2 linked regions of the Caenorhabditis elegans genome follow. The protein of the gene in region 2 purifies or fractionates together with the protein of the main gene of each other region. This does not show direct contact. Each region holds a gene or a part of one and is shown on either strand. Other genes may lie near its edges.

What was found.
Region 1: the proteins of malt-1 (region 2) and Y73F8A.26 fractionate together in Caenorhabditis elegans (co-fractionation; one large-scale study listed by BioGRID). This does not show direct contact.

The regions. Positions count from the first base shown.
Region 1 is NC_003282.8:15,465,765-15,482,693, reverse strand, and holds Y73F8A.26 (Leprecan-like alpha-helical domain-containing protein), read right to left. Parts: upstream 9,035-16,929; 5' UTR 8,961-9,034; coding exon 8,797-8,960; intron 8,378-8,796; exon of another isoform or gene 8,357-8,377; intron 8,093-8,356; coding exon 7,944-8,092; intron 7,890-7,943; coding exon 7,651-7,889; intron 6,767-7,650; coding exon 6,460-6,766; intron 6,408-6,459; coding exon 6,190-6,407; intron 6,041-6,189; coding exon 5,861-6,040; intron 5,811-5,860; coding exon 5,637-5,810; 3' UTR 5,182-5,636; downstream 1-5,181. Other genes in the region: fdx-2 (2Fe-2S ferredoxin-type domain-containing protein), read right to left, coding at 9,261-9,525, 9,586-9,695, 9,743-9,877; ntl-11 (CCR4-NOT transcription complex subunit 11), read left to right, coding at 11,212-11,375, 11,431-11,943, 12,814-13,049, 14,118-14,168, 14,962-15,163, 16,583-16,777.
Region 2 is NC_003280.10:6,943,740-6,960,184, forward strand, and holds malt-1 (Mucosa-associated lymphoid tissue lymphoma translocation protein 1), read right to left. Parts: upstream 7,562-16,445; 5' UTR 7,561-7,561; coding exon 7,439-7,560; intron 7,386-7,438; coding exon 7,304-7,385; intron 7,257-7,303; coding exon 7,166-7,256; intron 7,007-7,165; coding exon 6,838-7,006; intron 6,796-6,837; coding exon 6,635-6,795; intron 6,586-6,634; coding exon 6,362-6,585; intron 6,067-6,361; coding exon 5,967-6,066; intron 5,919-5,966; coding exon 5,806-5,918; intron 5,758-5,805; coding exon 5,684-5,757; intron 5,477-5,683; coding exon 5,362-5,476; intron 5,315-5,361; coding exon 5,218-5,314; intron 5,145-5,217; coding exon 4,995-5,144; intron 4,704-4,994; coding exon 4,615-4,703; intron 4,570-4,614; coding exon 4,237-4,569; 3' UTR 4,116-4,236; downstream 1-4,115. Other genes in the region: flcn-1 (Folliculin), read left to right, coding at 987-1,109, 2,390-2,511, 2,692-3,058, 3,106-3,207; ceh-38 (One cut domain family member), read left to right, coding at 8,331-8,368, 8,414-8,725, 8,774-8,876, 9,005-9,320, 9,443-9,929, 10,044-10,290, 10,424-10,510, 10,640-10,990; tra-2 (Sex-determining transformer protein 2), read right to left, coding at 11,880-12,644, 12,694-13,077, 13,218-13,366, 15,213-15,380, 15,426-15,528, 15,574-15,682.

The sequences.
Region 1 (16,929 bases), on a different chromosome or scaffold from region 2:
TTTAGAAACATATCTATTTCACATGCTCCATATAAAGTCTGAAACTGTTATAAAAATAATGTCGAAAAACTTTTCGGGAAGTTTATTAAACGAATTTGAGCACAGTGGAATAAAAATATTTTTTACAAAAAAGTTTCCAAAATACCTCTGAAAATGTCGAAAATAAAATTTTGAAATAAATTTTATTCAAGATGCCAAGTACACCGGAAAAATCCGTCAAAATTATATGAAAAATGTGAAAGTCGCAGAATTTCTCGAAAGATTCAAAAAAGTTGACGAAAAAAACACTGATTCACTAAAATACGAGTAGCAGTAAGCGTCTTGAATAATCAAAATTTAATTACAACTATAGAAACATTATCATTTGTCTGATTTTTCTTCTAATCGCTCATAAACTTTAATTTTATGCAGAGTTAAACTTATTTATCTGTCAAGTTAACCAATATCCAATGTTTGAAATAAATTTGTTTTATTTTTACAAAAATCACTGTTTCAATCTTAAGATTAGGTTTTAAGATCAATATTTGTACAATATTATTTTGAATGGGCGCAGGAATTTTTCTCCAAACTTCAAGAACAAAGCCAGAGGGTACGATGAATTGACGGTGGACTCTGACGGGTCTTTCTTATTTTATGTGTTATTCGATTTTCCCCGTTGATCTTCTATGTACTACATTTTGTTACTATTTATCTAATTTCGAATAAACAAACAAACAAACTACAGATCCATTAACAATTTCAAAGTTAGGAAATCGAAAATCGTGTTTTAGAAACAGTAATTTTTTATAGTATTTTTGACAATTAATGAACAAAGCAAAACCGTTGAGAACAACTCAAAGAAAATTTTCTATTTACTCGGTTGCACTATAGAAATTGAGAAAACTTCCGAATTTTTGTATTTTTAAAAAATATTTTTTCCTGTTACGAGAAGCCAATAATTTTAGAGGTGGACGGCAATCCTTTGACAGTTTTTTTCTGTAAAAGAGCCGGTTGTCAAATATTTTCAAACTTGGCAACTGTCGAAATGTCAAAATGAAAATCAAAGTTTTCAGATTTTCAAGTGTTGGGTGAGAATAACAATTATATGTATTCACCAAAATATCCCAGTAGATACAAAAAAATTGGACTCGATAATTGCCGAATTGCCTGTTTTCCAGCACAGCTGCTCTTTGTGCAGTGTGACGTCACAGGCAATAAACTTTAGACAGACGGAATACGCACTTGTTAATAATAGTAGTTAAAATAATAGGCAATGATGATTTTTTGAGAAAAAAATTAAGTTATTTGACTGTCGAATTTTCCCAAAATTATTTCTGTTTCACAACTTTTTTTAAAGAAAAAACGCAATTTATGAACACTAGTCCATCGATTTTATATAGGCTTGCAAATATTCTCTATTAGAATTGAATATCTATTAGCATGTCAAATTACAAAAAAGTTTAATTAATAAAAGGATGTTTTTGTTCGACAATAGCCTGTTTCAGAACGTTGTGCCAGATGATGTCCGCTCACATCGTCAATTCATCGTACCCTCTGGCTTTGTTCTTGAAGTTTGGAGAAAAATTCCTGCGCCCATTCAAAATAATATTGTACAAATATTGATCTTAAAACCTAATCTTAAGATTGAAACAGTGATTTTTGTAAAAATAAAACAAATTTATTTCAAACATTGGATATTGGTTAACTTGACAGATAAATAAGTTTAACTCTGCATAAAATTAAAGTTTATGAGCGATTAGAAGAAAAATCAGACAAATGATAATGTTTCTATAGTTGTAATTAAATTTTGATTATTCAAGACGCTTACTGCTACTCGTATTTTAGTGAATCAGTGTTTTTTTCGTCAACTTTTTTGAATCTTTCGAGAAATTCTGCGACTTTCACATTTTTCATATAATTTTGACGGATTTTTCCGGTGTACTTGGCATCTTGAATAAAATTTATTTCAAAATTTTATTTTCGACATTTTCAGAGGTATTTTGGAAACTTTTTTTGTAAAAAATATTTTTTATTCCACTGTGCTCAAGTTCGTTTATTAAACTTAAAAAAATTTCGATATTATTTTTAAAACAGTTTCAGACTTTATATGGAGCATGTGAAATATATAAATGTTTCTAAATTTTGATATGAAACGGTTTTTTTTCAAATTTAAACTGGCAGTAGTTATTTAGTTTTGAAACAAAATATATTTTAATTATTTTACCTATAAACCAAACTTTCTAAACGAACTTGAAAATGGAGAAATCAATTATATCATGCGAGCAACGATTCGTTCAAAGTCAGGCAATTTAAAATTCTCTCGTAGAAACGGTAAACAAATTTTGTTTTTTATTAGTATTTTTGACGAAACAGTAAAACACAGTAAAACCGTTAAGAGCAGCTCAAGCAATCATTTTTAGATCATTACACAAAACTCTGTTACGCTATTGAAATCCGAATTTTGGTTTTAATACATTAGCCCTATACGAGGAGCTATAATTTTTGAGAATGCTGAATTTTTGGAAATCGGCAAAAACCTATTCAGTTTGTGAAACAGAAATATGAAACTTTTTTTTTTGAAATTAAATAAAAGCGTAGATCGAAACCATTTTTTTTCCCAAAACTATTGCTGTTTCACTACCTCTTCAAAAAAGCCTTGCAATTTATGAACATTAGTTCGTTAGTGAGAAGGTAATCAAGAAAAGATTTTGAATTATTAGCCAAACACGGTTACACTACAAAAAAAATTGAGCAAAACTTCCGAAATTTTGTACTTTTAAAGTACAAAAAAAAGCAATATTTTTTCCTGATACAAGAAGTCAATATTTTAGGGGTGAACGGCAATCCGATACTTCTGCAATTTGGCAGTTTTTTTTTGAAAAGAGCCGGTTATCAAAAATTTTAAAATTCCGCAACTGTCGTATTTGGTAAGTAAAACAATAATACTTATTTACCAAAATATCCCAGTAGATCCTTTTCATTTAAAAAATTTAAACTCGTTAATTGGCCAAAATTCGCATGTTTTCCAGCACAGCTGCTCTCTGTGAAGTGTGACGTCACAGGCAATACACTATAGACAGACGGAATACGCACTTTTTAGCAATAATATTTAATATCATAGTTAATGATGATTTTTTGACAGAAAACAATTAAGTTATTTGGCTGTCGAGATTTCCCAAAATTATTTATGTTTCACTACATATTCAAAAAAAACCTTGCAGTTTATGAACATTAGTATGTCTGATATAAAACAGATTTTTTGCAAACTGAAACTGGTAGATATTTAGTTTCGAAACAAAATGTATTTGGGTTATTTTACCTATAAACCAAATTTTCTAGACGAATTTAAAAATGCAGAAATCAATTATTCATATTATTAACAAGGTATGAATTGACGAACGATTTGTTCAAAGTTAGGCAATCTGAAATCGTGTTTTAGAAACAGTAAAAAATAATGTTTTTTTTTAATTGGTATTTCTGAAAATTCAGGTAAACACAGAAAAACTGGTGAGAGAACAAATCAAGGAAACAATTTTAGATCATTAGCAAAACTCAAAAACTGTTACACTATTGAAATCCAAGTTTTGGTTTTTGTATATTAGCCTTTAAGATGGAGCTATTAATTTCAAGGGGTGTAGAATTTTTGGGATTCGGCAAAAAAAAAGTATTCAGTTTGTAAGACAGAAAAATATCTTAAACATTGAGCATTTTTAATAGAAATCCGGTATTATCCTATAAACGTTTATATAATTTTCAGTTAAACTTATAAAAATAATATGAAGCATTGTTTTTTTTTGAAAATAACACAAAAGTGTAGATCAGAAACATTATCCAACATGGAAGCCAAACAGAAAAACGGCGATTCGGCAATTGTAAAATATTTTCAAATTCTTTCTTTTTTTTCTCAAAATTTTTTTAACTAGAATTGCCGAACTAATTAAATTGTAATTTTTGAAGATAAATTTTGAACATAGCCAAACTCAACGAAAACTAGCCTTTTAGCTTCTCTTAAAAATTTGCAAAATTTAAGATATTGAAAACAGATTTTGAAAAACTTCAAAATTCAAAACACGCATGAAAACGAAGAAATTTTAGAAAAATGTTGAAAAACTCTATATTTTCATTGAATTTCTTGGATTTATTTTTTGGGGAGTCCTATAGAACTTGAGTGCACTGTATTAAATTTAATTTGAACAAAAACGTCATCAAAAACGTTATCAAAAAGAATCAAGAAGAATATTTCAATGAAGCGTAGTTAAAAATAATTTCTGTTTAACTACTTTTTCAAAGAAACCTTGCAATTTTTCAACAATCATTTTCAAATTATTGTTTTTTTTGTATTTTTCATATAAACTCACAATGACCAATTTTGAGTTTGAATGAATAGCTGTGAATTTTTGAAAAAGTTTCAAAAAATCACTGTTTCAATTTTTGCATTTCTAAATTGGAACTTTTATATCTATGTTAGACGAAATTCTCCTTGTACGCTGTTCTCTTCTTTTCATTTTGCAAACCTAGGATAATTGGAATATTCACGAGTTTATTTTTAAAAAATATTCCAAGGAAGCACCCCCCACTCACCCTGAAAAACCTTCAAAAACATGAGAAACCCGCGAGATGTCGTTGAAGCATTTTAGAACACACAACTTCCTTTTTAATTTATAAATAAAAATCCACCCGGATCCTCAAAAACTAATGGTGCTTCAATCATTCTTGCCATAGAAAAAACCCAGTTTAATACAATTCAAAAAAGAGCTAGCAAAATATTGTAAACATGAAACAGGGATTTTTTTGTCTTAAAATTCATAATCAACCGTTTCAGGGCAGAAAAAAGAAATTTTAAAAATTCGTACTTTTTGTTATTTTGTTAAGCGTTTCTCCTATAACATTTCCGTTTGAAAATTGATCTGTTATTTTTGTCAGGTCTATTCCGTATCCATTACCTACATTACAAGGAAAAATTCAATTTTTAGATTTGAAAAAATTTCGGTTTAAAATTTTGTCATAAATTTTTTTTCCACGACTTTATTCTAATATAGCATCTTTTAAAAACTTTTTTAGAACTAGTATTATCACTAATATTTCAGTTTATTTTTTTTTAAATCAGCAAAAAGAAACGAGAATATTGCAGATTGTGATAGTGAATTTATAAAAAATGCGTGAAACAGGAAAAATTGAACTTAGAAATTGTAATTTTTAAGTGAGATTATTTTATTGGGTTTCAGATTTGCGTACAACTTACTGATTTACACACATCTTGAAAATAGTTGGAAAAAATAATTTTGAACATTTTTCTGTTTCAGCATTTTCTGAAAATTCAAACGATAAATAGTTTTAATATTCTGAGCACCAGAATTGCAAAATTGTTCTTTTTTCACTGTATTTAGAAGTTTTTTTTTTGAAAAATCAACTAAAAACCATTTGAAAATTATGTCAATGTTTTTTTTTTCAATTTTACAACCTTTCGATTAGTTATTTAACAATTTCAATCCTTATATGAAATTAGTGAAACAGTGCAATTTTAATAAAAATTTTGAAAATAAAACAATTGTCTGTTTCATCTTTTCTACATAACTCTTGGATTTCTTTTTTGGTATTACAATTTTTAAAAATTAACAAAATAAATTAGTTTCAATGTCAAAAAAAGTGCACAAAAATCAATCAATAATCTTCTTCTCATCACAAAACACGACAGCACATCCGTTGAACCATTTGCCCAGCCATTCTCCACAGTCATTGTGCTCCGCCGAAAAGACGATGGCTCTGGAGCACTGGGCTTCACGGACTGGGCTCCCACAGGTCACATTGGAATATGAGGAGTTTGGCCAGAGCTGGAAATATTAGGGATTATTTAAAGACTTTTTCTTGAAAAAAACAAAACCTTGACTCTTTGCTCCAACTCCTTCACAAACCCGTCCCGTTCTCTGGTGTCCAGCGCTGAGCGGAGGATTTTACACTCTGATGACGTCATCAAACTTGGAATCTGCTCGTATGGGAAGTTATCCTCCACGTGGATATCCAGTGATAACGGGTTACGGTCGTCGGCTTGTTCTGGTGGGAGCTGCAATTTTCCAACTTAACTATAAGTTAACTATAAGCACAACCATGTCACACTGGTTTCTCTGTTGCTTGGACATGCATGCGTGGCGCAGTCGGTTACCGCTTTGTCTCGCGCGCAACCAGTTTTTGGCTGCCGCGGGTTCGACTCACCTCGCCGTCCTTCACCACGAATCGCTTCTCCATAAACTCTAAAAATCGGGCTTCAAGGTCTCTTCGCCGATAAATATCCAAAACTTCTTGGCTCGGCGTGAAGAGCTCATTCTTTTTGTACTGTTTCCCGTAGAAATACCGATTTCGTCTCATCAATGGGCTGTCGTCAAAGAGGAGATAATTGGCGACAGTTTGAGCCGCTTCAGCGCCCCGCTGCACTGGAATTTTTTTGTTTGTTGAATTTTGAATTTTTTTAGGCGGTAAACTCACTCTTAAAATGACAAAAATGCAGGTACTCAAAGTGCGCGGCAAACAAATGTCCTACATAATGCCCGTTGATCCTCGCCAACTTATACAGACAGTTGTGCTCACAGCGTATCACAGAAGCTCTCATACTTGCCAACAAAATATCGATTTCCGGGTTGCCGTCAACGACGCTCCAATCGATTTTATCCTGGCAGAGCAGCCGACACTTTTCGTCTTGAATTATCGATTTTTCGAGCGCCGACTCGAATTCGTTGACACATCGACCCCAGTCTTGTTGGTCGTAGGCCTCGACGCCGTTGATGAATTTGGCCTAGAAAAGTGAGGTGTGAGAAAAACTCGGCCACCGGATTCTGGCCTTCCTCATTGAATTTTTGAATTTTTCGCGCTCCATTGACAATCGCCCGCCGGACTCCACACGGACAAATACATTTAGTTTCACAGCTGAAAGCAAGCCGCGACGCGACACGCAACGCGCCGTATATCTACCCCAGATATGGCCGAGCTAAAATGGCCTAGTTCGGCACAAACTCTTCCATTTCAACTTATGAGGGAAGCAAGAAATCCGTGCCGAATTAGGCCATTTTAGCTCGGCCAAATCTGGGGTAGATTTACGGCGCGTTGCGTGCCGCGTTGCGGCTCGAAAAACTAAATGTACTTGTCCGTGTGGAGAAGGCCAGAAGCCCCTGTGAAAAGTGGCCAATTTGTGGGTAAAAATCACAAAAAAGTGGATAATTCGATTAATTTTTCTCTATTTTTGATGATTTTCAATCAATTTTGCAGGTTTTTCCAATTTTTTTCGTGGTTTTTCAAGATTTTTGCAGTCTGGAGGTCAGTTTTTGACAAAATTAGTTAAAATTAGCTCAAATTTTGCTTTGAGAATTGAAAAATGGTTGTGAAGCCAGCTGAAGCAGAATTAAATGATAAAAACCTGGAAAAAAACTGAGAAAATCTCAAAAAATCATTATTTTGGGAGGATTTGGCTTGAATTATACATATTTTAGGCCTAAGTTTAGGCCTAAAAATCTCGGAAAATCACAAAAAAAAGTGGATAATTTGACGAAATTTTATTGATTTTCGAGGGTTTTTAATCAATTTTCGGGGAGTTTTCAAGATTTTTCAGTGATTTTTCACAATGCACCTTTAAACTCCAAACATTTATTTAAATAATCGTTGCAAGACCCCCAAGCCCCGAACCTCATGATCTTTCCGTTCCATATCGATAAGCATATCATCCGAATATCCATCGCGATTCATGTACCAATTCAAACTTTGCTTAATATCCTTATCATCCGGATTTGCGACCAAAAACGTGTAGGCCGATTGAACGGCCATCGCAAGCTCGCCCTGATGATAATAGCAGATATGCATGTACTGATACGGCTTGCGCTCCTCTAAATCATGGTACACTGACATTTTCTTTATCGATTGATGATCTGAAATTCGGGGGAATTTTTTTTAGCAATGGAGTGCACATGCATCATCACTACCTCCGAACATGTCCTTCCGGCATCTCAAAAGACACAGTGCAGTTTCACTTGTTTCGTGGAATTTTGCGATTTTTGGCGAGGATGACGTGGCAGGTTTGATCTGCCGGTTACACTTTCTGCGGCAACTCACCACGTCGTCTTGGTATTGTCTAGAAAAAAAAGATGATTTTATCAGTGGGGCGAATTTGCATGGGAGAGAATTTAAATTATTTTTCAGTGTAAAACACGAATTTTCTGGGTAATTTCGCTATTTCAGACTAGAAAATGACGCAAAGCACGAGTTTACTTTCAAAAAAGCTAAAAAAAGAACAAATAAATTCAAAACTCCCGCTGAAAAGTGTTATCAATGGGGCGAATTTGCACTGGCAGTATTTTTTAATTATTTTTCAGTGAAAAACACAACTTTTCTGGATTAATTTCGCTATTTCAGAGCGTTTTTCATTAAAATATATGCGATTTTCTCCGAAAAAACCAAACAATTAAATCTTAAACTCCCGCCGAAGCATTTTCTCAATAGAGTGAATTTGCATAGGCGGTATTTTATAAATTTAATTATTTTTCAGTGAAAATGCGATTTTTCTGGGTTAATTTCGCTATTTCAGACTGTTTTTCGATCAAATTTATGCGATTTTCTTCGAAAAAACCACAAAATTGAATTTTAAACTCCCGCCGAAATATTTTCTCAATAGAGCGACGTTGCTAAAAAATTTCTTTTTCCTGAAAATTAATTAATTTTGCGGGAAATTTGTGATTTTTCGCCTATTTTAGCCGAAAAAAAGACATTTCCAGGGTTTTTTCTGTAATTTTTTCGAATTTTTCCAATTTCCAAGCTAAAAACCACTCAAAAATTCACCTAAAATCATCAATTGCTCGCTTCATAAAAGCCACACAATCGGGCCAATTTCTCTCCGTATACTCATTTTTTCCAAACTGAAAATAGTCCTCAAAAGTGACTTTCGGGTCCTGGCAAAGCGAAAAATCGGCTAGAAATATGAGAAAAATCAATAAACGCAGCATTTCAGTGGTCAATTTGAGTGGAAAGTTAAAAGTTGTCCTGATTGACCGGCTGTTGGGGGCCCAGAGCAGCATCTGGAGGGTGTCTGTTCGGCGAGTGATCGTGCGAAAACGAGGAGACGCAGAGAAATTACAACATAAATATATCGAGTAAAAGGTCAAAAGCGAGCGCGATTTTTAATAATATAAACTCTAAACATTTTGAGCAACAAGGAAAAAATACAACCCGAATCTCGTTTTAAGACTCGAAATTTTCAGGAAATTGAATAGAAAATGATGAATATCACAAGAATAAAATTGAAATTAATGAGGTTTCGGCACATGCCCGTCCACATAGAAGTTGCGTGTCATTGTCGGCAGGGTTACAGTGATTCCGTCGAGCTCTTTCGTGAGCACAATTTGACAGCCGAGCCGTGAGTTGTCCTTGAGCGCCGGAGCCATATCCAGCATATCGTCTTCCTCTTCTAGCGGCTCCGGGAGCTTGTTCTGGAAGGCTGGATCGACGTAGACGTGGCACGTCGAGCAGGCAAGTGATGCCTCGCAAGCTCCCTCCATTTCAATGTCATATCTGTAATAAAATCGTTTTTTTTTTAGAAAAAAATCCCAATATTTTTGCTCATTTTGCTACCTGTGCGCCAAAAACATCACATTATCCCCGACTTTTCCGCGAATTTTTCGTTCCGTGCCGTCCCGTAACACGTAGGTGATATTCACCACCTCGTCTTCACTTTTTGGATCCTAAAAATTCCTTTTTTTTTTTAATTTTTTCCGCAAATTCCGCCTGCCTCATATTCAAAATCGCCAGTTTTCCGCACACTTGACGTCATAAAATGTCGATTTTTCACGGGAAACGCCTGGGTTTCTGCTAGAAATCGACTGAAACCTTTAGCTCTCATCGCCAGCCTGAGCACGGAGGACATTGTGAGAGCTGAAAATTTGAAAAATTGAACAAAATAATGAATTTTTTTTAGAAAAATATTGAAAATTTGGGAAATAAATGATTTTTTTTTCTGAAAAAAAGGTGCATTTTTATTGAAAAATTTTGAAAATCTATGGATTTTTTCTGAAAAAAATGCTGAAAATCGAAAATTGCGTCAGCATGCACGAGAAACACGCCAACAAATCGCAAAGTGCGCCAACGATTTCTGCGTCTCGTACTCTCTACGGCATGCAGATAGAGCACACTTGCATTGTTTTCTTTTTAATTATCATCGAAAAATGCTGAAAATTTTGAAAATATATGGAGTTTTTTCTGGAAAAATTTGAAAATACGAGAAATATATGAATTTTTTCAGAAAAATGCTGAAATTTTGCAAAATTTATGGATTTTTTTTCGGAAAAATGCTGAAAATATGGGAAATTTATGGATTTTTTTTCGAAAAAATGCTGAAAATATAGGAAATTTATGGATTTTTTTCTGAAAAATACTGAAAATTTATAGATTTTTAATGAAAAATACCGAAAAATTGGGAAATTAATGGATTTTTTTTCCGGAAAAATGCTAAAAAATTGGGAAATTTTTGGATCTTTTCTGAAAAAAAAAGCTGAAAGCATGGGAAATTCATGGATTTTTACTGAAAAATGCTGAAAATTGATAATTTTATGGATTTTTCACAGAAAAATACCGAAAAATTGGGAAATTAATGGATTTTTTCTGGAAAAAAGCTGAAAATATGGAAAATATGGAAAATTTATGGATTTTTTCTTTAAAAAATGCTGAAAATATGGAAAATTTATGAATTTTTTCTGAAAAATGCTAAAAATACGGGAAAATAATTGTTTTTTCCGAAAAAAAAGCTGAAAATTTGGGAAATTTATGGATTTTTTTTCCGTAAAAATTCTTAAAATAGAGGAAATTTATGGATTTTTACTGAAAAATGCTGAAAAATTGGGAAATTAATGGATTTTTCCGTAAAAATACTGAAAAATTGGGAAATTTATGGATTTTTTCCGGAAAAATGCTGAAAATTTGGAAAAAAAGGCCTTTCACTGAAAAATTTGCTGAAAATTGGGAAATGTATGGATTTTTTCAAAAAAAAAAATGCTGAAAAAACTAAAATTGCGTCAGCATGCACGAGAAACACGTCAACAAATCACAAAGTGCGCCAACGATCTCTGCGTCTCGTACTCTCTATGGCGTGCAGATAGAGCGCACTTGCATTATTTTCGCTTCCCTGTTTTTTTTTCTTTTCATTTCATTTTCAACTCAATTTTCATCAATTTCTCCGTAATTTTCGTTAATTTTCAGCCAAAAATGACGAAAAAAAAGGCAAAGAAGAACCAGAAAACCGGTGCCGCTGCAGCGCCACCGCACGAGTCGCAAAAAAAGGAAAAAGAAAACGATTTCGAGATGCTGGAGGATATAAAGCGAGACGAGGACTTGTTCTTCTCGGAAACTGATATTTCCAATATTTCAAAGTATTTTTTTTTATTGAGAATCAGTGTTTAAATAAGAAATTTAATTAATTTCCAGCTTTATTCGCACCACAAACAAATCCTTCAACTCTCTCGGCAACACATTCGTCGAACAATTCACAAATCGCTGCTCTCTAGCCATTTTTCAGGCTCTTGCCACATGTTTTGAGATTCATTCTGAAGAAAGGGATGATGTGATTCGTCGGTTGAATATTATTTATATAGTATGGCGCCTGCCCGATCTCGAGCCGGAACTTCGTCCAAAACCGCCGAAAAATCTGAGCGACGTGTACTCCCATCCGTACGCCACGTTTCTTTTTGCCGCCGAGCAAATTGAGCACCGAATTGAGGCGATGCTTGCGAGAATTATCGTCAGCAACAATATAAATCAGGTCGAAAAGCTGACGGCACCGGATTTTATTCAAAAAGCGGCGGCGGGGGGATTGACGGTGGTGGTGGAGGGCATCGATCGGACGGGTTTTGTGGATTGGTGTGAAGCGAATACGGATCATTGGCCAGAAGTTCATGATTCGGTGGTTCCGTTGCCGAAAGCGATGCGGGAGCTGGGATGGTACGGAAATTCGAGAAAATTCCATGAAAAAACTCGATTTTTTTCACATTTTCACCGATTTCACACACTAATTACCCAATTTTACCCCAAAAATCCTCAATTTTACTTATGATTCGCGAAAATTCGAGGGAAAAACGTAAAAAACGAAAAATTCCCGTTAAAATTCGAAAAAAATCCCATTTCTTGGGTTTTCTGAGCAAATTTTCCGCTTTTTATAAGATTTTTATGCCTAAAAAACCCGATTTTCACTGTAATTTCATCAATTTCCACCAAAAATCCCCCTTTCTTTTGGGTTTTTGGAGCCAATTCTAGCTTTTTATGCCTAAAAACCCGAGCTTTCTCATAGTCAATTTTCACCAGAAAAACCTAAAATTCTTCGAAAATTTAGCTTAAATGCTCAAATTTTTCACTAAAAATGGCAAAATTTTTGAACTTTTCACTAAAAAAGCTCAAAATTCCTCATTTTCCAATAAAAAATCCGAAAAAAAACTTCAAAAATCATCGCAAATCCTCAATTTTGCTCGAAAAATCCCCACATTTTCCAGTGAGCTAAAGGACTACACGAATCAGGAATGTAAGCCTAAAAACCCCGATTTTCACCTAAATTTCTCAATTTTTCCCCAAAAACCCCCAATTTTTCCCAGGTTTTAGTGCGAATTTCCTGCTTTTTATGAGATTTTTGTGCCTAATAACTCGATTTTAGTGATTTAAATCTTCAAAACACTGGAATGTCATCAATTCCCCCTCAAAAATCCCCCCAAAAAAAAAACCCGGAAAAAAGCTTAAAAAGGGCAAAAATGAACAAAATTTTGGCGGCTTTTCACAAGATTTTTATGCCTAAAAAACCCGATTTTCACTCAATTTTTCCAGTGAACGAAAGGACTACGAATCAGGAATGGCTGAAGCTTTCTATCCAATAATGCACAATGCTCCAACACAACTCCCTCCCAGAATGGAAGCTCTCGAGCAAGAAGATCCAATTATTCGAGAATGGCGGCTTAAAGTAGATCCAGAGAATACATCAGCAACGCCAGTGATCTATTCAATGTGTTCTGGTGATAAGATGCAGGAAGAGCTTATGCAGGCTTTTGATGAGCTCGAGCCGAGTATGTGCTCGTTTTTTGGAGCGAAAATCATTGAAAAATTGAAAAAACCACGGAAAATTGGCTAAAAATGCTTGAAAATCGAGAAATTTCGAGTTTTTTAACCTACCTAAAATTCGGGGTTTTCGAACGAAATTAGCCCAAAAACCCAGATTTTATCGAAATTGAGCTATTCCGGAGCCTTCGGAGTGCGAAAATTGTGAAAACCCACGGAAAATTGGAAAAATGACGGAAAATCACGAAAATTCGAGATTTTTAACCAAAAATTCGGGTTATTCGAACGAAATCCCTAAATTTTCACCAAAAAATCCTAAAATTCTTCATAAATTCACCTAAATCCTCAAAATTTTCACTAGAAAATTCCAAAATTAGCACAAAATCTTCCAATTTCACCAAAAAATCCCAAAATTCATAAAATTTTAACAAAAAAAATTCCAATTTTCTCCGAAATATAGGACAAAATTCTCAAATTTCTGCCAAAAAAGCTCAATTTTCCACTAAAAATCGCAAAATTCCTTAAGTTTCCACTAAAAAATCCCATATTTCCTTGAAAATTAGTCCAAAATCTTCAAATTTCCACCAAAAAAAGCCTAAAATTCTTTGAAAATTAGCCCAAAATCCCCAATTTTTCACCAAAAATCTTAAAATTCCTTAATTTTTACCGAAAAATCCCAAATTTCATCATAAAATAGCCTAAATTCTCATATTTTATACTGTAAAACCTCAAAACTAGCTCAAAATCTTCCAATTTCCACTAAAAAAGTTCAAACTTCATCAATTTCACCAAAAAATCCCAAAATTTCTTGAAAATAAGTCTAAATCCTCACATTTTTCACCAGAAAATCTCCAAAAAGTCTACATTTCCTCAATTTTCACTCTAATTTCGTCGAAAATTAGCCCAAAATTCACTATTTTTCACAAGAAAAGCTCAAAATTCCTCAATTTCCACTTAAAAACCAAATTTCCTCGAAAATTGGCCAAATTTCCTCAATTTTTTCACTAAAAAGTTCAAAATTAGCCCAAAAATCCTCAAATTTTCCCCAAAAAATCTCAAATTTCCCCATTTTTCAGCCATCGCCGAGTACCAATCAGATCTGATCGCCGGAATGACAGCTCCAGAGTGTTAGTTTTAACAAAACACGGGGTTCTGGCCGTCCTTATGCATATTTTTCGCGCTCCATTGACAATAGCCTGCTGGGCAACGCGTGGAAAAGTGTCGTGTACTCCACACGGACAAATACATTCAGTTTTACAACTAAAATCGAGCCGCGACGCGACACGCAACGCGCCGTAAATCTACACAAAATCTCTCCGCCGACCTAAAATGGCCTAGTTCGGCACACAAACTCTCTTCCATTTCAATTTATGAGGGGGAAGCCAGAATTCCGTGAAAAAAAAAATCTCTCATTTCCCCACTGCAACTTTTTCCTCACGAGGGACGAGGAAAAGTGGTTTCTAGGCCATGGCCGAGGGGGCCGACAAGTTTCAGCGGCCATTTATCTTGCTTTGTTTTCCGCCTGTTTTCTTTCGTTTTTCACAGCTTTTTCCCGTTTTTTCTTATTAAAACTGATAAATAAATATTTTTTGCAGATGCTAAAACAATTTCCAAGTTAAAAAATTATGTTATCAGTCGGCAAGTAGCGGTGAAAGTGGGCATTGTAATATGATGGATTACGGGAATACAAAACCTAAACTTTTTCTGAAACATGATACATATGATGCTTAGATGCTGAAGCTACCTGATTTTCATAACGAGACCGCTGAAAAAGTTTTGAGGTTTTCAAAATTCAACTTTTTTGGTGAAAAAGTCGAGATTTTCGCACCCTCGGCCATGGCCTAGAAACTACTTTTCCTCGTCCCTCGTGAGGAAAAAGTTGCAGTGTTCCCAACTAAATTCCCTTTTTATAATTTCCAGTAGAAGAACTAAATAAACAAATCGATTGTGATGATCAAATGTCTCAATCATCAGACTCGGCTCCACCATCAGAAGTGAGCTCAGATTTGGAGCTTGACACGGCTCTGGATATTCGTGATGGAATGACAATGCCGCTGGTGGATTTGAAAGATGAAGTTATTGAAGGATGTGTTGATCGAATTCTTGATGGAACTACTTTGACGTACGGAATGGATTTTTGTGGATTTTAGTGTGGATTTTGTGGATTTAGTGGATTTTTCAGTGTGCCTTTTTTTAGCTTGAAAATTGAATTTTTGGCCCAAAATGTGCTCTTTTCAGCTCAAAAATTGGATTTTTGAGCTTAAAATTGAATTTATTGGCAGAAATTTGCCCCAATTTTAGGCTTAAAATATATACTTGAAGCTTAAAATATGCTTTTTTAATCTTCAAATGTTCATTTTTGAGCTCAAAATGTCCTTTTTTTAGCTTAAAATGTGCATTTTTAAGCCTAAAATGTACATTTTTTAAGCTCAAAATGTGTCTTTTTAAAGCCTAAAGTGTGCTTTTTTAGCTTAAAATTAGATTTTTGAGCTTAAAATGTGCTTTTTTAAGCTTAAAATTTGCAATTTTGAGCTTAAAATGTGTCTTTTTAGGCTTAAAATGTGCTCAAATAAGGAATTTCGTTGTGAAAATCCACAAAAAATGTTAAAAAATTAGCTAAAATCTCAAATTTTCTCACTTTTTCCGTTTCCCAGAAGTGCAAAGTTGGTAACTTTTTACGATTTACTTGTGAAATTTGTGAATTTTGCAAAAAAATCAGCGCGCCGCATAGAAAAATAGGCGGAGCTTGATTTCGCAACCCTGCGGCACGGTTTTTGCTCTATTTTTTGGTGATTTTTTTTTCTATAAAAAATGCTTTCATTCGAAAAAAAAAGGAAAATCACAATTTTATTGAAAAAAAAATCACAAAAAGGTAGTGCAAAAAACCGTGCCGCAGGGTTGTGAAATCACGCCCCGCCTATTTTTCTGTGCGGCGCGCTGATTTTTGCAAAATTCACGAATTTTAACAGTAATTCGTAAAAAAAATAAACAACTTTGGACTGCTGTGAAATGGAAAAGTGGCAAAATTTGAGATTTTAGCTAATTTTTGAACATTTTTTGTGGATTTTTACTACAAAATTCGTTAATTTGAGCACCTTTTTAAGCTTAGAAAAGCTCATTTTAAGCTTAAAAATGCACATTTTGAGCTTAAAAAATGTACATTTTAAGCTTAAAAAAGTGCATTTTAAGCTTAAAAAATGTACATTTTAAGCTTAAAAAATGCACATTTTAAGCTTTAAAAAATGCACATTTTAAGCTTAAAAAAGTGCATTTTAAGCTTAAAAAATGCACATTTTAAGATTAAAAAATGCACATTTTTAAGCTTTAAAAAATGCACATTTTAAGCTTTAAAAAATGCACATTTTAAGCTTAAAAAATGTGCATTTTAAGATTAAAAAATGCACATTTTAAGCTTAAAAAATGTGCATTTTAAGATTAAAAAATGCACATTTTTAAGCCCAAAAACCCAATTTTTGAGCCTTACCCCTCTTCAAATCAGATTTCCCGCCAAAAAATGTAAAAAAAACGCAAATTTTTCCAGAACTTCCAAGTCAGATATGATGATTCAATTCGTTCGAACAGCTCTGATAACTCATCCACAATACGATCGGCTTCTGCAGGCTTCGGTGCTCGACGAGAATATTATAAGCTTCATCAGAACAAATGTCAAGTTTGCTGGCGCTTTTCTTGTCAGAAATGCGCTCAGTGAGCAGGATACGTGCCTCCTTTTTAAGAGGTTCGGAATCTGAAGAAAAAAATTCGGAAAAACCCCCGATTTTTGGGCATTTTTCGTGCGAAAATGGCTAAAAATTCGGTGTTTTCGAGGTTTTTTCAGTGAATTTTTGCAATTTTTCGCTGAAAATTTGAAAAAATGGCGGTTTTTTCCCC
Region 2 (16,445 bases):
CCTCTACCTCTTCATTTCCCCTTCTTTTTGTTCATCGCCGTGCTCTGTGAGACATGTCTGCGTCTCTTCGTCTCCATGTTCTCTAGCCTAACTCCGCCCATCCCGCTCGGCCCGCCGGCCGTCGATCCGTCGTTCGCTCTCCGCCGTCTCGTCGTTGCCTCGATTAGGGGGCGGGTACGTCCTCCTCTCACTTCGATCGGCCGGTCGAGCGAGTCTCAGTCGGCCGTGGCGGTGCGTTGATGCCTGCTTGTGTGGCCGAAAGAGACTCATTGGGCCTGCTCCGTGAATGTTGTTTTTTATTTCAAATTTAATGTAGTCGATAATAATTATCTATTAATAAAAACCATCGTAAATTCATTCGACATTTTATAGAATGAGTATATTTTGATTATAAAACAAAGTGTAGACTGATTGACGCCACCCTTTTAAATTTGTTTATTTCTCTCACCTCAGAGAGTACATACAATCAGTCATTTTGTATTTGTTGCCATTTTGATTAGTATATTCTTTATTTCCTTTGCTCTTTTTCCGAATTCTCTTGCATTTAAATAATTCTCACCGCCAGAAAACTTGCACGCAGTAGACCGATTCAATATCCCGGTACAATATCAACTGAAGAGTATGTGTATTGCTTCTGTATCATCATCTGTGGCTATTCAAAACGAAAAAATTCTGCGTGAAGAGATGCCACTGATCATTGAAATTCAGAACATTCCTCCATCTTTTATGATGCGTGTTCATGAAAAAAATGAGTCCGCGCTTGCAACTGAGCCAGATGATTTTGAAGGCTGCGAGAATGAAACCATAAAGGGCAAGGTATGTAGACTATTGAGATCGAACAACTTTTATTAAATACTAGATTGAATGTAAACGGAGGATAAGCCTTTGACAAAAAGAGAAGTCAGCCATGTGAATTTTATGGGTGGAATTGAGTAAAAAACAGTATGACCGAGAATTTATAAGAACAGTACCATCAATTCAGACAGTTTGGATTTCAGGTTTCAATGGCCCAGTTGGCGAATCTCAAGATCATCGCAACTCAACTAAATACTTGCAGCGAGCCTGGTGATCTGGATCTTTTAATTCGTCATATTGTCACTGGAGGACAGGTTCGTCAATTAAATATAATATAATCAGAAAAATCTCCACCGCAGCGTTAATATTTATGATTTTATAATGACCGTATCGTTAACGCGCATTTCTGATCATCTTATCAAATCGCACTTGCCCACGAAAAATCGTATCAATACCGTATCCCGGTTATTTCGTCCAAAAAGCATACAAAATGGTAGAGAAAAATAATAAACTAGAGTTCATTTGATTTTTTCTAATTACAAAAGCCCCGGAAATTCTAAAAGTTGAGCTAGTCATGTTCTCCCAATATTTTTCCATTAAAATTTAGTGAGAGAAAAAAATTGATCTATCTAAAAATAATGTTTATTTAAATTGAAACAATTGAAAAGTTCTTAAAAAATTGTCTGAAAGTTGAAATTTTCTTTTTTAATTTTTTTTCCGGCAATTTCCAACCTTCGGAACATTTTTGAGCACTTTTTCAATTTTTCCAACTAAATAAAAAACAAATTTTCAGATAAAGCAAATATTTTTTCTATTTAGCTCATCTTGTTGAATTGCAATGTCGACAAGATCGAATTTTCGTGACTTGCTGACATTATTTTAAAAGTGCCCCTCTAAAAGCGCCTTAGCCTTGTCGTAGCAATTAAATAACAAGCTGCATTCTCGTTTCTCTTTGACAGAAAGCTCCGTTTTATTACCTAAGCGCAAGAAGTGAGACTCGTAAAAATGTTAGACGAACCCCGCGCCGAGACATTATTGTGAATTGGCGAGCTACGGAGCGGTGATTTGTGATCGGATCGTGAGAATCAACCGTATTCATAGGTACTGTATGCGCATTTTGATGTCATTATTGGTGGGATAATGGATGTGGAATGAGGCGGACGCCACAAATAACTACACTCATTTTTACCATTCCAAATTCCCTGTTTATGTCAAGTATTTGAGTTCCTTCCGAAAAACATTATGCCAGCAATAATAATAGAAAACCACCAGATGTCAGGGACCAAGATAAGTCTGTTTGGAGAATAGAAAAATTGAAAAGTGGGAAGAGAAGAAGAAGAAGAAGATGCATAATAAATCTATTCCTCTGTAACGTTTCCAAAAATGTTTTGCTCAGACTTGCATCAAAAAGGGAAGAAAAAGAGTCAGCGGTAGTAGAAAGAAAAAAATGGAAGATTTATTTATTTCGTTTTGCTCCAGTCTTCTTAATATTTCCGAAATTGTTTAGATTTGAAGCTTTTGTCGCTCGCAGAAATTTATTGCTATTTGAAAAATTTTAAATTTTGCTAAAAACTTCTATATATTTTTCTTTCAGGTTGTCGTCGAATCGCGCGAAAAAGAATATTGCCGTCAATTCTTGCTTGCCATCTCGAATTTACTCCCAATTGGATGCATTAAATTGGCAACATACAAGGAACAGTACCTGCCCGAATACAGGTGAACTTTTGTTCTTTGGTCATCTTAGTTATGAGCATGTTTGACCAGACAAAGGTGTAGTACTCATCGGGCGGAAAGGATGATGTATTCATTGTTTGACTAGACATTTGCTCCTTAGGATATCGGATCAAAACACAAATGATCAAACTATATACATACGTTCATATTAATTTTTTGCAGCTCTCGATTCAATCTCATTGGAGGCCCTCACAACATGGACATTCCACTCGAAGTTTCGGATGTAATGGTTTTTCGTGTTTCACCACGGGATGTTTCGATTGTTGATATCGAACAAATGTCGCTTGTGAACTGCGTCATTGAAGTTCGTCGTCGTCCGGAGAATGACGGATCGAATGGACCACTTCCCCGTATCGTGAACCGCTACCGTGATTTGCTTCTCGACTCAGATGTGACGGATACTATTCTCGAAACTGCACTTCGCACGACACGTGAAGGATGGATGCTCAAAGCAAAGATCTGCTACCAAATGACCAAACAGCTTTCACATCCCCAAGTATTCGAACACATCACCGGATGCGGCGTTGAGGTGCGTTTTCAATTTCCGCTGAATTATAAAAATTTATTTATTTTCAGGATCAACAAGTTGTTTCATACTGGACAGCTGGACTCTCGAATGCATACAAACTACATGTTCTTACTTCAATCCAACAGTCTCAAACCTCTACTGCTCGTTGATTTGTTCGATTCTTCAGTTGGCTTCATTATTTTTTGCAAGACGGCTGTGCCGTTTTATGCTCTTCATCTGGCTGTGCATCGTCGTAGTTGTCGTAGATAGTTTTACATACTTGTGCAAGCTTTTTCAAACTTTCAATCACTTCAATTTTCAAAACACAAAAAAATTTGACCCATTTTGTGCTACCCACTTCTTTGACTCGTTTCTCACAAACGTTATTCTACATTATCTATTCTGCGTTATTATCACTTCCCGTTCTCTTTTAATCATATTCATAATAACCCACCTCATGTGTTTCTTCTCCTCAATTTCCTTGACTCATAATATGATTTTTTTCTTACATTCTAAACATCTCGTTTTTCTTTTTTTTTCTATTGAATTCTTCAAAGTGTGTAGTCGTTCTAGCCGATTCCTCTTTCTCTCCTGATCCCCAATTAGGTTGAGTTGTCTGGTATTTTCATCATCTTCCAATCTGTCCAATTATTTGCCGTTTTCATTGGCTTGTTTTGTTTTTCCGGTAGCATCTCCAAAAACCAAATCCGTTTCCGTAATTTTCCCTACCTCAAAAAACGCGTTGCGCAGAGAATACTGTTACTGCCACGCCCCTTTATGCCCCCGGAGGGTTCATAAAATCTCCATTTGTTTTAATAGGCATCGGTGATATTCATGTACTATTCGCCGCGTTACACAATCGAGCTTTTTCACCCACAATACCATCTCTAAATAAGCATCTCTTCTCTCCACACCGTCCAATCATTTTCTCTATATATTGACGCGAAAATCTCTTTCTCATCCTTTTTGTCGTTTCTTTCCCATTGCTTTGTCTGTTTCATTCATTCACGATGGCGTATTCGTTCATTTTTTTCTCCTTCCATCGGTTTATTCGTTTTATATTAATTCATACACCATTACTTTACGCATTTTATTCATTGTAAAATAAATGAGATTTCGTTTCATTAGTACTACATTTCAATTGGCAAAAATAATTAATAATGGATTTTCGGACCCGTAGGTGTTCACATGGCAATGCATTACTGTAGACATTTGATTCTTGTAATCAAAATATGACCAATATCAACATTCTTCATCTCAATCGTCTTCTCTGGATCATCAACGTGTCTTAAATGAACTTCACATGTCAATCCGGCTTCTTTCTTGATTTTTTGTAATCCTGATAGAATCCATAACATTGAGACACCTTCTTCATCATCATTATATTCTCGAACATCAGAACAATGAAGCTCTTCAGGAAATTCAACAAATGCTCGATGATTCAATGCATTTTCACTTAATTCTTCATTTTCTCCCATATCGGTGTCTTCCTGGCAAGGACGGAAGTCTGATATTGATGCGAATACGTAAACCTGAATATTTTATACTTTAAAGAATTGAGGACATTTTCTAGAAACCTTGTTTGTGAAATTTCCACAAAATTGAAACCAAATCGTAGCGACTAATTGTTGAGTTTCAAAACGAATTGTTGCAGGCGTTGGGAGTTCTGGAAAATATTATACAATTGAAGAAAAATAGTACTTTATCAGTTCAATTTTGAATTGAATAGTCAGTTTTGAAAAAAAATCCTATGAATATTGATCAGCATTTCTCTGGAATTTGAATGCTAGGAAACCTTCTACTTTGGAAATTTTCTAAAGTTCCAAATTTTAATATTTCAAAATTCAAAATACCAACATTTTTGGAAACTTCTGAAAATTCCAAAAATTTCTAAAACTAGATACTATTTAATGCAATTTTGAAGACACAAGTTCCAGAGAAAAATCAAAAATCTCACCATGCATAAGTCTCCAATGTATAGTATGATTATCAAATGAAGCAGTATGTCCATCGAATATTAATGGATCTGCCAGACTTCTGGGATGTGTTAATGTACTTCGAATCTCGGGAACTTGAAGATCACAAACTTTTTGATCATCCCCAATATCTGCAAAAAATATAAATCAGAGTAGAAACTTTGGATAGTGTATAGTTCTCAGAGAAAAAGTTCATATACTTACCTAATAGTACTTTATTCAACATATCAATAACAGATATTTCCAATTGAACATGATTCTTCAAATATTTCATAAAGACACCATTCACTTCTCCTTTAACCTGAAAATAATCAATTTTTATAAACTTTTTTCAAATGAAAAAGAAACCTCATATGCTCCGACTCCACCGCTTGTAGAGTATCCATAAACCATATTTCTATGGGCTCGATGGAATTTTTTGAATTGTTCTGAATATTCCACAAATGCACTGATCGCATCATATCTGGAAATATTCAACTGTTCAAGCTGGCGATTTTTCTAAATACCGTATACTAAAGTTTTGGCATACTGCCAAATTTTTGGCAAATGTGGAATTTGAGAAATTTGTTGCCGGTTTTCAAATAAAAATGTTCTGATCATAATATCTTTTCGAATTATTTTAAATTTAACGAATTTGACAGAGTTACGCGAATTCAGTTTTAATACTTACGGAACAAATTTTCTGCAGACATCAAGAAGAAGCAAGTTCAGATCAGGAGTTTTATGACGGAAAATTGACAAAAGCTGGAATTGGATTTAGATTCTCTAAATATAGTTTTTATAGGTATTTACCCAATCCATACTCATTGAATGTTGTGGTTGATGAGCATCTGCTGGAGCATCAACACCAAGTAAATAACATTGACCATTCACTTCAAATCCATGACCAACAAAATAGAATACAGCTAAATTAAGTGTTCTTTTTTATATTTTTAAAAATCAAATATACCTACCGTATACTCCATTTCCAATCAATTTCTGATAAACTCTAATAAAATATCTCATTTCATCAAGTGTCAGATCAGCGAGAGTTACTGTTTTGTAGTTCATTTTCTGAAATAAAAAATTATTGAAGGAGGAGTAGTGCTAGTGGGGTAATTGTTAAAAAATCACGCTTGTGGTACTCAAATTGTATACTTTTAAATATTTTTGAAACTTTTTATTCCCAGTAAAACATTTAAATTATTCAGTTTTCACAAGCCAAAATGTTTAGTAAGTTCGGCATTTTACCAAAACTTTGGCTGAAAATTTTTAAAATACCCTATTAATCTGTCATTTTGGAGTATTATGATTGTATTTATTCAGATATGGAATTTCAAATATTTCTCCAAATTCAAAAAAGTGTCACCTGTAGTGCATCGGCCAAAGTTTGTGCATCACAATGAGGTGTTCTCAATTCAGGTAAATGTACATATGAACAATTACTCATAATAAGTGCAACTTTATCTGCTGCTCGAAGAGTTATATCCAAATTTGGACGAACTGGTGAAACTTTGTTCTCTGGCTTTTCTTGATCTTCTGCCAAAATTTGAGACAACCGTCCCATTTCATATTTCTTACACGATTCACATACTGTAAGTATTTCAGGTTAATATACTTTTCTGGAAATAAGTGAACTAACATTCGTCGTCTCTTATACAAGATGTTACATCAACATATTCTGATTCGATAACTGAGCTAAATTGTTTTCCAGCTTTTCGATAAATTTCCGAATATGGTGAGCCTTCCCGAATCTCATTCTTCGCTACACATTTATATTGATGTTCATTCGAGCATTTACATCTAAAAATCTCAGTCTTATTTATTATAAACTTCTTTTTTAACCTTAAAATTGTGTAAACTCTTCCAATATGCACCGGCTCTTTTGAGCCTTTTGTAAACCATTTTATCTCGGGACATGGAAATCCTTGAGCTTTGCATTCCAATTTAATATTTCCTTCGTCAATTTCTTTTGTAACTTGTTGTTCCGGATCAGGTATCCACCGTAGAGGCTCTTAAAATGGATATTTTTAAATTTCCGCTTGAATGGTGGCCTAGAAAATCACACATGGACTAGCTTTCTCATGACATGAACTCCTCTCGGACAAAATAACATTTAATTATTTTATTAGAATTATTTTAAATTTTATTTGGATTTATTTTTAATACTCACTGAATTTTCGTCGCAAATGAAATTGAATTGAATCGAATTCATCTTCATATGTTCTTGAAAGAAACTGCAATCTCGCTAGTAAGCTTCCAACCTGAAATAAGTATTTAATTTCTTCTCCGATTTTCTTTCTTTAATTACCGTTTGTCCGCGATTCCCCCATTTTCTGAGCACTTGTTCACAGCATTTTTCTCTCTTCAAAAAACTCTCAATTTCTGTGGATCTAAAGATAATTTATTAGAAAAATTATTTTTTTAAATTTAATTTAAAACTCACTTCATATAATAAATCGGGTCCTCATCGAATTCCACAATTTTAATCCAAATGTTATCTTTTTGAAGTTCTTCTGATAAAATTTTAAATATTCGTACAGGTAACTCCGCCAAGTTTGTGTTCATTCTGAAATTGGGGTTCAAGAAATTTATTTTTGATTTTTAAAATAGAGAAAAATTTTTTTTTTAAATTGCTGCCAATTTTGCTCTATTCAAAAAATATCAAGCTAAAATATTCAGTAATATATTATATTATGCTTCTTCCTTCTTCGCTCTCTGACATGCTTCTCGTAAATGCACATGCTCTACCGTCATTTCTCAATTTCCATTTAATGTCTGTCTACATTCTGTCAGGCAATTCGTTGTAAGACCCCATCATCATGTGCAGGGACTCCAAAGAAATCTAGATAGTATGGAGTATTGTGAGTGTCAGACATAACCAGCAAACGACTAGAGACGGACAAACAACGCGCGGCCACACTCTCCCTCTCCCTGTGGCCATCAGTATCGATCGGTGTCTAGTCGCAACTAGTATGTTCTCCCACTTTCAATACAAATCAATATCATTTTTTTTCAAAATTATCGATTTTTTGAAAGTTGACCAAAAAATTGATTTAAACTCAAAATTTTCAATTTCGCTCTGTAATATTGTATTTTTCAACGTTTTTTCCCCTTGGTGTTGTGTTTCGAATAACGAAATTCCCGATTCAGGAAGTTTGAGCTGTTATACTGAATATATTTTTTTAACTGCCAAACTCATACAATACCACTCAATTTAACTCATTTTTGTGCTGAAAATTTTTTCTCTTATCAAGTAAACATATTTTCAGAATCAACATATTTCTGAGCGTCATCGAAACCACTACTGAAGTTCAAATTATCAAATTTCAACAAAAATGGAGTCATCACGGACCGCCGCAACATCCACTAATGGGTAAGAGAATCCATGAGTTGATTTAATCAAATTATAATATTTCAGAACTGAGAAATCGCGTCGACGAAACACTGATTATCTACAAATTGATCCCTCAAGTACTTTTATAAATAACACCGGTCGGGGTTTTGCTGAAGAGCTTCCGGAAAACTTTCTTGACACAATCAGTCCACATCCAATAACTCCATCTGCCAGTACATCCTCTGCAACTTCTGCAACCGAAGAACCAGCTACATCCTCGGCTCCACAACTCGCCTCACTTGCACCAATGAGTATGAGTTCTGAACAACCGAGTAGTAGCTTTTCAAGTGCTTCGCTTCTTTCATCATCTTACGAGACTATAAAAAATGAACCTGAGTAAGTTATATAATTATTAGAAATTAGTTCATAAAATCTTTTATTCAGAGATTACAGATTCTCTGGAAGCACTGCTGGACTTCTCTCTCCACTTCATGTAGATTCACGGCGAAGAGAATCCCATGATTTCAATACTTCACCATATATTAAGGTACTTCAAAACGCTGTTTTTATTTAAAAAAAATTGGAAACTGTAAAAAGCAAAAATTAAAATGTTATGTTTTTCTGAATAAAACAAAAATCTTCATTTTAATAATTATTATTTTGATTTAATTTCAGGAAGAGGAAGATCTCGATGGAAGTCATCTACTAATGGGAGGAATTCGTCCAGATACACCAACAAATGACAGGTCAACAGATCTCGGAAGCATCTCATCGTTGTTAAATGAGGATCATCACACCAACACAATTGGACAATCTCCATCTCCTCGCAGTACATTCGGTTCCGATCCAACACCAATGATTCAACGGCAACTAATAAAAAATGAGGATGGCGTGTCACCAGGATCTATGGGTTTTTCCAAAAACCACCAGGGTTACCAGAAGCCAAGAAATGGTGATCGAATGGAATATGAAAAAGCTCCATATCAAAGAAGTGAGTTGCTTTTTGTCCATTATGTTAACCTATGTTCTGTTTTTGAACTTACCTTCCCCTTCCTAAATTTATTGTTTCATTTTACCTTTCGTTCACTAATTGTACTTACCCGTATGTTTTAGATTCTCGGAAACAAAAAAAGCCTCTAGGTTTGCTCAATCAAGCTCTATCATCAGTCATCTCAACGCCGACAATCTCTTCTTCCAATATTCCAACACCACCATCTGCTCATATTGCTCAGCCACGTCGCATCTACTCGACTCAAGACTCAAATGATCCATTGAATGCAGAGATTGGCGATGATATATATATAGACACAAAAGATCTTTGCAAACGTATAGCATTTGAGCTGAAAAATCATTCGATTCCACAAGCCATTTTTGCCGAAAGAATATTGTGTCGTAGTCAGGGAACTCTTTCTGATTTACTACGCAATCCAAAACCATGGAATAAGCTGAAATCAGGACGTGAGACATTCCGTCGAATGTACAATTGGGTTGCACAGCCATTAGCAACGAGATTGGCGATTCTTGATATGAAGACAGAAGATGTGAATAGAGCATCTGGAATGTCACCACCAACTCCAGCACAGAATGTGCGCACACATAGGTACGTTTTAAAAAAATTTCTAGTAGAATTCCACAATTTCCAATAGACTTATGCATTCATACAAACTGATTTATACATAGTTTAAAAAATTTCAATTTCTAAGTTTTTCCAAAGTTTCAGAAGATCTACTTCCGATCATGATGGACCTGTATCAAAACGACCTCGTCTCGTATTCACCGACATACAGAAGCGTACACTTCAAGCAATCTTCAAAGAAACTCAACGTCCATCTCGGGAAATGCAACAAACAATTGCTGAGCATCTTCGTCTTGATCTTTCCACAGTTGCCAACTTCTTCATGAATGCACGTCGTAGAAGTCGACTCGGTGGAAACATTGATGAACCGACGCCTTTCCAGCAGGTAAACTTCCTACCTACCTTAGATAAAATCTTCGCTGATTCCTTCAATTTTGTCTTAAAATATTTATGAAAAAATTTCAAATGCTAAACAAAAAAGGGTTTTTGAGTTCCATCGAAAATATTTGATATTTGAGGTGAAAAACATCAGTCCGCCACCTGTTGGGGATACATCAGATGCACTGTTGAACGGGGATGACCATGTTCCACTACTCAACACGGTGGTGAGTTGGAATAGTTGTCAGCGCTTCAGTTATTTATGAAAATTGAATTTAAAAATTACATACCTAGTCTGTTAAATATCAAAATTCAAAATTAAAACGATATGTATTTGCATAAATTAATTGTTTCAGATGGCGGAAATGTATAAAGAAGGTGCAATTGCAACATCGAATCATTCTGCTGAACAACGAGAAATGATTGAACGTGGATTTGGAGTATCAATTCCGGGTCCTAGTCATTCTGGTGAACTTTTGAATGGAGATTCACATGAAGATGATGAAGAACTTGATGAACTGAATGATAGTGAATTGGCTTATGAAGAAGATGTTGAAATTGGAGATGAAGAAGAAGAAGACGAAGAACAAGCTAATGGTGACATACTTCCAACACCAAAAGTTGAAGAACTCGAGGAAAAAACAGTTATCAAAGAGGAAGCACCTGATGACGGGGAATATGGCGCCACAAAGCTTGCAGCTAATTAAATGCGTCATACTGCTAAATTGAATTCAAATTCTTCACAACTTATTTTCTTATCGCTTGACAAATTGGAAGAATTTAGTTGCAAAAATATATTACCTTCCTATTTTCCATCACTAACATTCCTCTCGTCCTCAAAATGACCGGCATTAAATCTTACTTTTAAGTATATAAAATCTCTCGAAAATATAGAAAATATATTGATAAGCTATTCAAACGCCTCGTTGTATTTAAATTCCATCGTATCCTATTTTCAAATCCTTTTTGTAATATAAATTATAATAATCCCCCTATAATTGTTTGTGCCTTTTCACCTACCAATTCGCCCCTCCTTCCATGTTTTTGCCTTAATCTTAATACTTTTTCATAAACTGTATCGCACTTCCACCCAGCGCATCTCAATTTTAAGCACTCATTTCATTGCATTTTTCAATAGCCTTCCCCCTTCCAAATATTTAAATATTAGTGCAGGTTCTCTCACTTTTTCATTGTCCGGTAGAATATAATTTTGTTACATTATTCCACAATTCCTTCATCTTTCTCATCGTTTCAATATGTTGGAATCCACCGGCAGGTCCGTGCTCTTTCTCACTTCCTAATTTTTGAAAATAATTCAAATTTGTCATTGTTTTGACGCCCAGAGCATTTAAGTATTGCTGATTTATAATAAATGTTTTAAACTTATTACGTTTATTAACAAGAAAACAAAATTCGTAAAGATTACAAGTTGAGGTCGAGTGGACGATTAGATATGAGTAGATAAGAAATTAAATATGAGTAGATATGAGTAGATAAGAAATTAAATAATGAAATGGAAATTGTACAAATAATAGAAACGAAAATGAGTAAGAAATGAAATTTTGGAACCAAATTCTGAAAAAGGAAACAGACATTTTAAACCTCTGGGTCTGATAGGTCGCCTTCCCGTGCTTCATCTTGTTGCTCACGATGATTTCGTCTTCTTTCTTCTAGCAAATCGAATGCTTGCTGAGGAATCGGGATCGGTGGGGATTCGGCTGGTGGGACCCAGTTGAGATCTTCCGGTGGTGGTGTACGCTCGGTAATGTGATAATAATCGTACGGTCGACGGGGTACTTGAAGTCCTGGAGGTAGCTGTCCAGTTCGGTGTGTCCAGTAAATATCTTCGCAATATTCAACCATTGGACGGGTGAATGAGGCTGGGTATTGATCAGCACGCGGATGAGGTGGAAGGTTGGGGTCAGAGTGAGCTCGAATGCAATCTTCCATTGATGGTGGCTCGGTTAATGGATCTCGCCGATATTCTTCTGGAAGGACATGCTCCACAATATACAATCGACCAACTGGTGGAAGTGGTTCATCAACTGGAAGGTTGGCAGGTGTTCCTGGGAGATTCGGACTCTCTATGCTGTCATCCTGATTCTTCTTCGATTCACTGATCTTCTCTTCACTCTTTTCTTTGTCCAAATTTTCTTGCGACTTCTTCATCTTTTCAATGTTTCGAGATTCCCTTCTCTGTGCCGTAGATCTTTTATTCATCAAATTTCTTTCTCGATCTAGCATATCTTGAACCAGTTCGCAACCTTCATCCCCATCATGCTCGTCAAAATCATACTCATCAACTCCCAATTCGAAGCATTCCTCAAGAGCATTCATATTTTGTTCCAAAGTGCTTCCAGGCTGAAAATTTGTTTCAAAAATAACAGTTTTGATGGAAATGATAGCTTACCCCATTCCATGCAGCACTAGTGTTACCGCCTACTGACTTTCCAGAAACAATGAGCTCATAACGATTTGGAATATAAAGTTCAGTGTTATCACCATTTCCTCTGACACGTTTATTGCCGGTTTTGGGGCTTCTACGATTGGATGGTCCTGGCTGATTTGGGTCAGAATCCTCGTCTTCATCAGATGATCGACTTCTTTTCTTACATGAATATTTTGGTGGTGGAGCATAATATCGGCAGGGAGGAGATGATCGTTTGATTGAGAATTCGTCCAGCTCGACCTGAGGCTCGTCTAACGATGAAGCAAGTCTTTGTTTCTGCACCAAATTGTAGACCCGGACAGCGGTAGTGCTGCCCCGCAAGTCTCTATGAAGATAGTGTCGAACCTGAAAAGAATGTGAGAATATTAGAATGAAGATGAGATTATAAAAGAAGAACTACTGCTGCTGCCAGAGAAACTGAATATAATCCCGACTTAGACGACCAAATCTGATGGGCTTAATATTGAAAAGGAATCCATACTTACTTCACTTTCAAACATTTGTTTTGTTGCAATTGAAACGATGATTGAATTGAACACAGCGACAATTTGAATGACAATGAGGATTACTGTAGGTACGAAGAATATATTGAGCTCGGGAACGATGGAGCAGATGATCGCAAGTATGGAGAACGCTGAAAATATACATATTTAAAAATTACTATTTTGCAAAGATTGAAATTTCAAGTTATTGTAATTTCTTACAATTTTTCTATTACAAAGATACAAACATTAGCAATATTTGCACTAAAAATACGGTACCCGGTCTCGACACGGTCAATTTTGAGTTAAATGCGAACATGTGTGCGCGTACTGTAATTTCGAGGAGTACTGTAACTTCAAACCTTCCCTGCTGCGAATTTTCCCTTAAACCAGCAACGAGTTTCAAATTACAGTAATATTCAAAGCCGCACATCTGTTCGCATGTAGGAAATATTTATCGTGCCAAGTCCAAGTACTGTATTTTTGGAGCAAAAAACGCAAAATTTCACTTCTGCGTTATATTCATCTCTCCTGGAGCTTCATTTTCAACTGGTTTTTTCCTCTTCCAAGACACAACCCCCACAGCTCCTAATCACCATCAATTCATTTTCGGTCTCCTTTTCCTTCTTTTTTCGAGTTCATACCCCTTTTTTTGTTACTTCAGTTTCTCTCGTCTCATGAATACGAAACATTCTTTTTCTTTTCAAGGAACGAATGCCACCATGTCGAGACACTAGAACTACGACGAAGAAAACCGACGGAAAGGGCGGAGCATAGACGAGAGAGAAGAAGAAAGGAAAGGCAGTAGGGTTGAGAGTGGGTTGTGACAGCTAAAAATTGTTTGTGCTTTACGCCCGACTTCAAATGTACTTTATTAGGAACGAATGAACATAGTCTAAACTTTTATAAATCCTAGATATATATTTTTGAAATTTGTAATATGAAAAATGAAATGAGAGTTCAATGAAACTTGCAGAGTTATAGTAGTTAACTAATCAGTCATTTGACATTTTCATGGTTACGGTAGAATTCTGGAATCCAATGAGAACGGTGAATTCTATTTAGTCTATGTGTGTTTTATAATGTTCAAAAATCAAAGAATTCAGAACATTTATTCAAGTTTCACATATTCATTGAATTCCTCAAGAGAATAAAGTGATAAATGAGGTCTCTATCCAAAGCTAGCAGCCACTTTCTTTTTGTGTCCCTTTTTCATTGTTGGCCGTGTTCCAATGCTCTTGAGGCCACACACGTTGAAAAAAGATTGAAAAGCAACTCATACATCTACAGTAACCTCGGGACTTCTTATTTGAAACGTCGGAAGATGAATGAGAGAAAGAGAAAAGTGAGAATAAATATATATATTGGCGAAAAATGGACAAGGTGGCAAGAATAATGGATGACGGATGTGAGTGGAAGAAAAATGAACAAATTGATGACCGAGAACTGCTGAATGGCCACCAATTTTGACAAGTTACTTCACGCTTCGGAAATTCTTTAAAAAGAAAAATTAAGAGGGAGGGGAGGAAAACTCAATCCTTACTAATAGATCAACCTGATCTTCGGAAAATCTACAAAATGTCCCATTGCACCATGTTTTTCTAACATTTTTTTTTAATTAAAAAATTACTGCGAAAATATAGAAAAAAAATTCAATCTAAAAATAAAATGTGTTTCAGTTGAAACGTCTTAGAAAATGCAAAAATGGCTCGAAAGTTGCCGATTGCTGAAAAAAGATCGATGATAGGCAATTTGCAACTTTCAGGTAATGTTTATGCACTTTTCAAATGTTTCAACTGAAATAAATGTTATTTTCAGATAAATTAAGTGATTTTCTATAGTTTAACACTAATTTTCAAACATGGTGCAATAATATGCCATTTGGTAGAATTGCAGATAATAATTGCCACTCACCATTGCTCTAGATTGCCCTATATTTCTTAGTGTTATTATTTAATTTACATTTTTAGTTTACACAAAACTGAATCTAAATCATACCTGTAATAAGTAACACAAAAAATTGAGCAATATCAGCTGTAGCAACAATTGGCAAAAGAACTCGTCTCTTTGATGCCAACTCAGGGGTTCGTCTAGTTTCACTTTTGTACAAAATTCGTCTTCGATATCGCAATAAAGCACAAAACGGATCCCAGGCGGCGAGGAAACCTGAAAAACGAGTTTAAAATTTAAAATTTTCATATTTATGTTTACCAGCAAAAAGTGCCAAATTAGTGTAGATTTGGTGGTGATCGAGTGAGAATAAGTGGACCAATGCAGCCACTTCGATTTGCGTCCCAACGACCAATAAGGAAAACTAAAATTTTGAATTAAATCTTTTAAAGTTGTATTATTAACTAACCAGAAAAGTCGCCTTGATAGTTGGTGTGATGGCAAAGATGAAAGTGATTATAGACAACAGAATAATGAAGATCCCTGCTGTAGTGAGTTGATTGAAAGCGAAGAGATTCCTGAACAAAACATATTGAGAGCTAGATCAGTAGGTCAAAATTAAACAGGAATGGAGGTTCTGATGTTTATAAAAAATGTGGAGGTCAAATTGTCTTTTGATCATGAAATTTTTATATTATCAGTGAAAAAGCTGGAGGTGCTTTGTGTAAACTATTTGAAAACCAAAAAGATTACTGTAGGCCTACAGTCCTCAAATTAAAATATCAATAGTTTTGTCATTAGATATTTGGTTACTAAGGGTTTCAAGTTGTTTATTGAACCATTAATCCCGCCCACACTACTGTAACACTTTTTCGTTATCACGAGAAACGATAGAAACCTCCAAGATTCTTTACACTTTCCATCAAACCGTTTTTTTCCAGTAATTTCCCCCATTTCTTGATCATTATCGGCAGAGGGGTCGGAAAAGTGACAGTGATGTAAATGAAAGGGGAAACAATTGCCATCTTCCTCCTCTTTCATCTATTTTAGGGGGTTTACTTAATATTTAGAAGAGAAAATCATGAACATAAAACACAGGAGGACAACAACTTTGTTCCAACACATCTGAAAGCCCATGGGAAAGGAAAAGAAGTAGAAGCAACGGTGATGACGAAGATGAAATTATTTTCTTCGCGTCTATCCTAGGGCCCGCCGCCGTCGCCGTCGCCCAGTGTGTAAAAAGGACATTGAGGGAGAAAAAGAGGGCGGAGCACACTTTGAAGAATGCCTCACATGGTGGTACCACACATTCAAAAGATGAATTGCTAAGAAACACTTCCG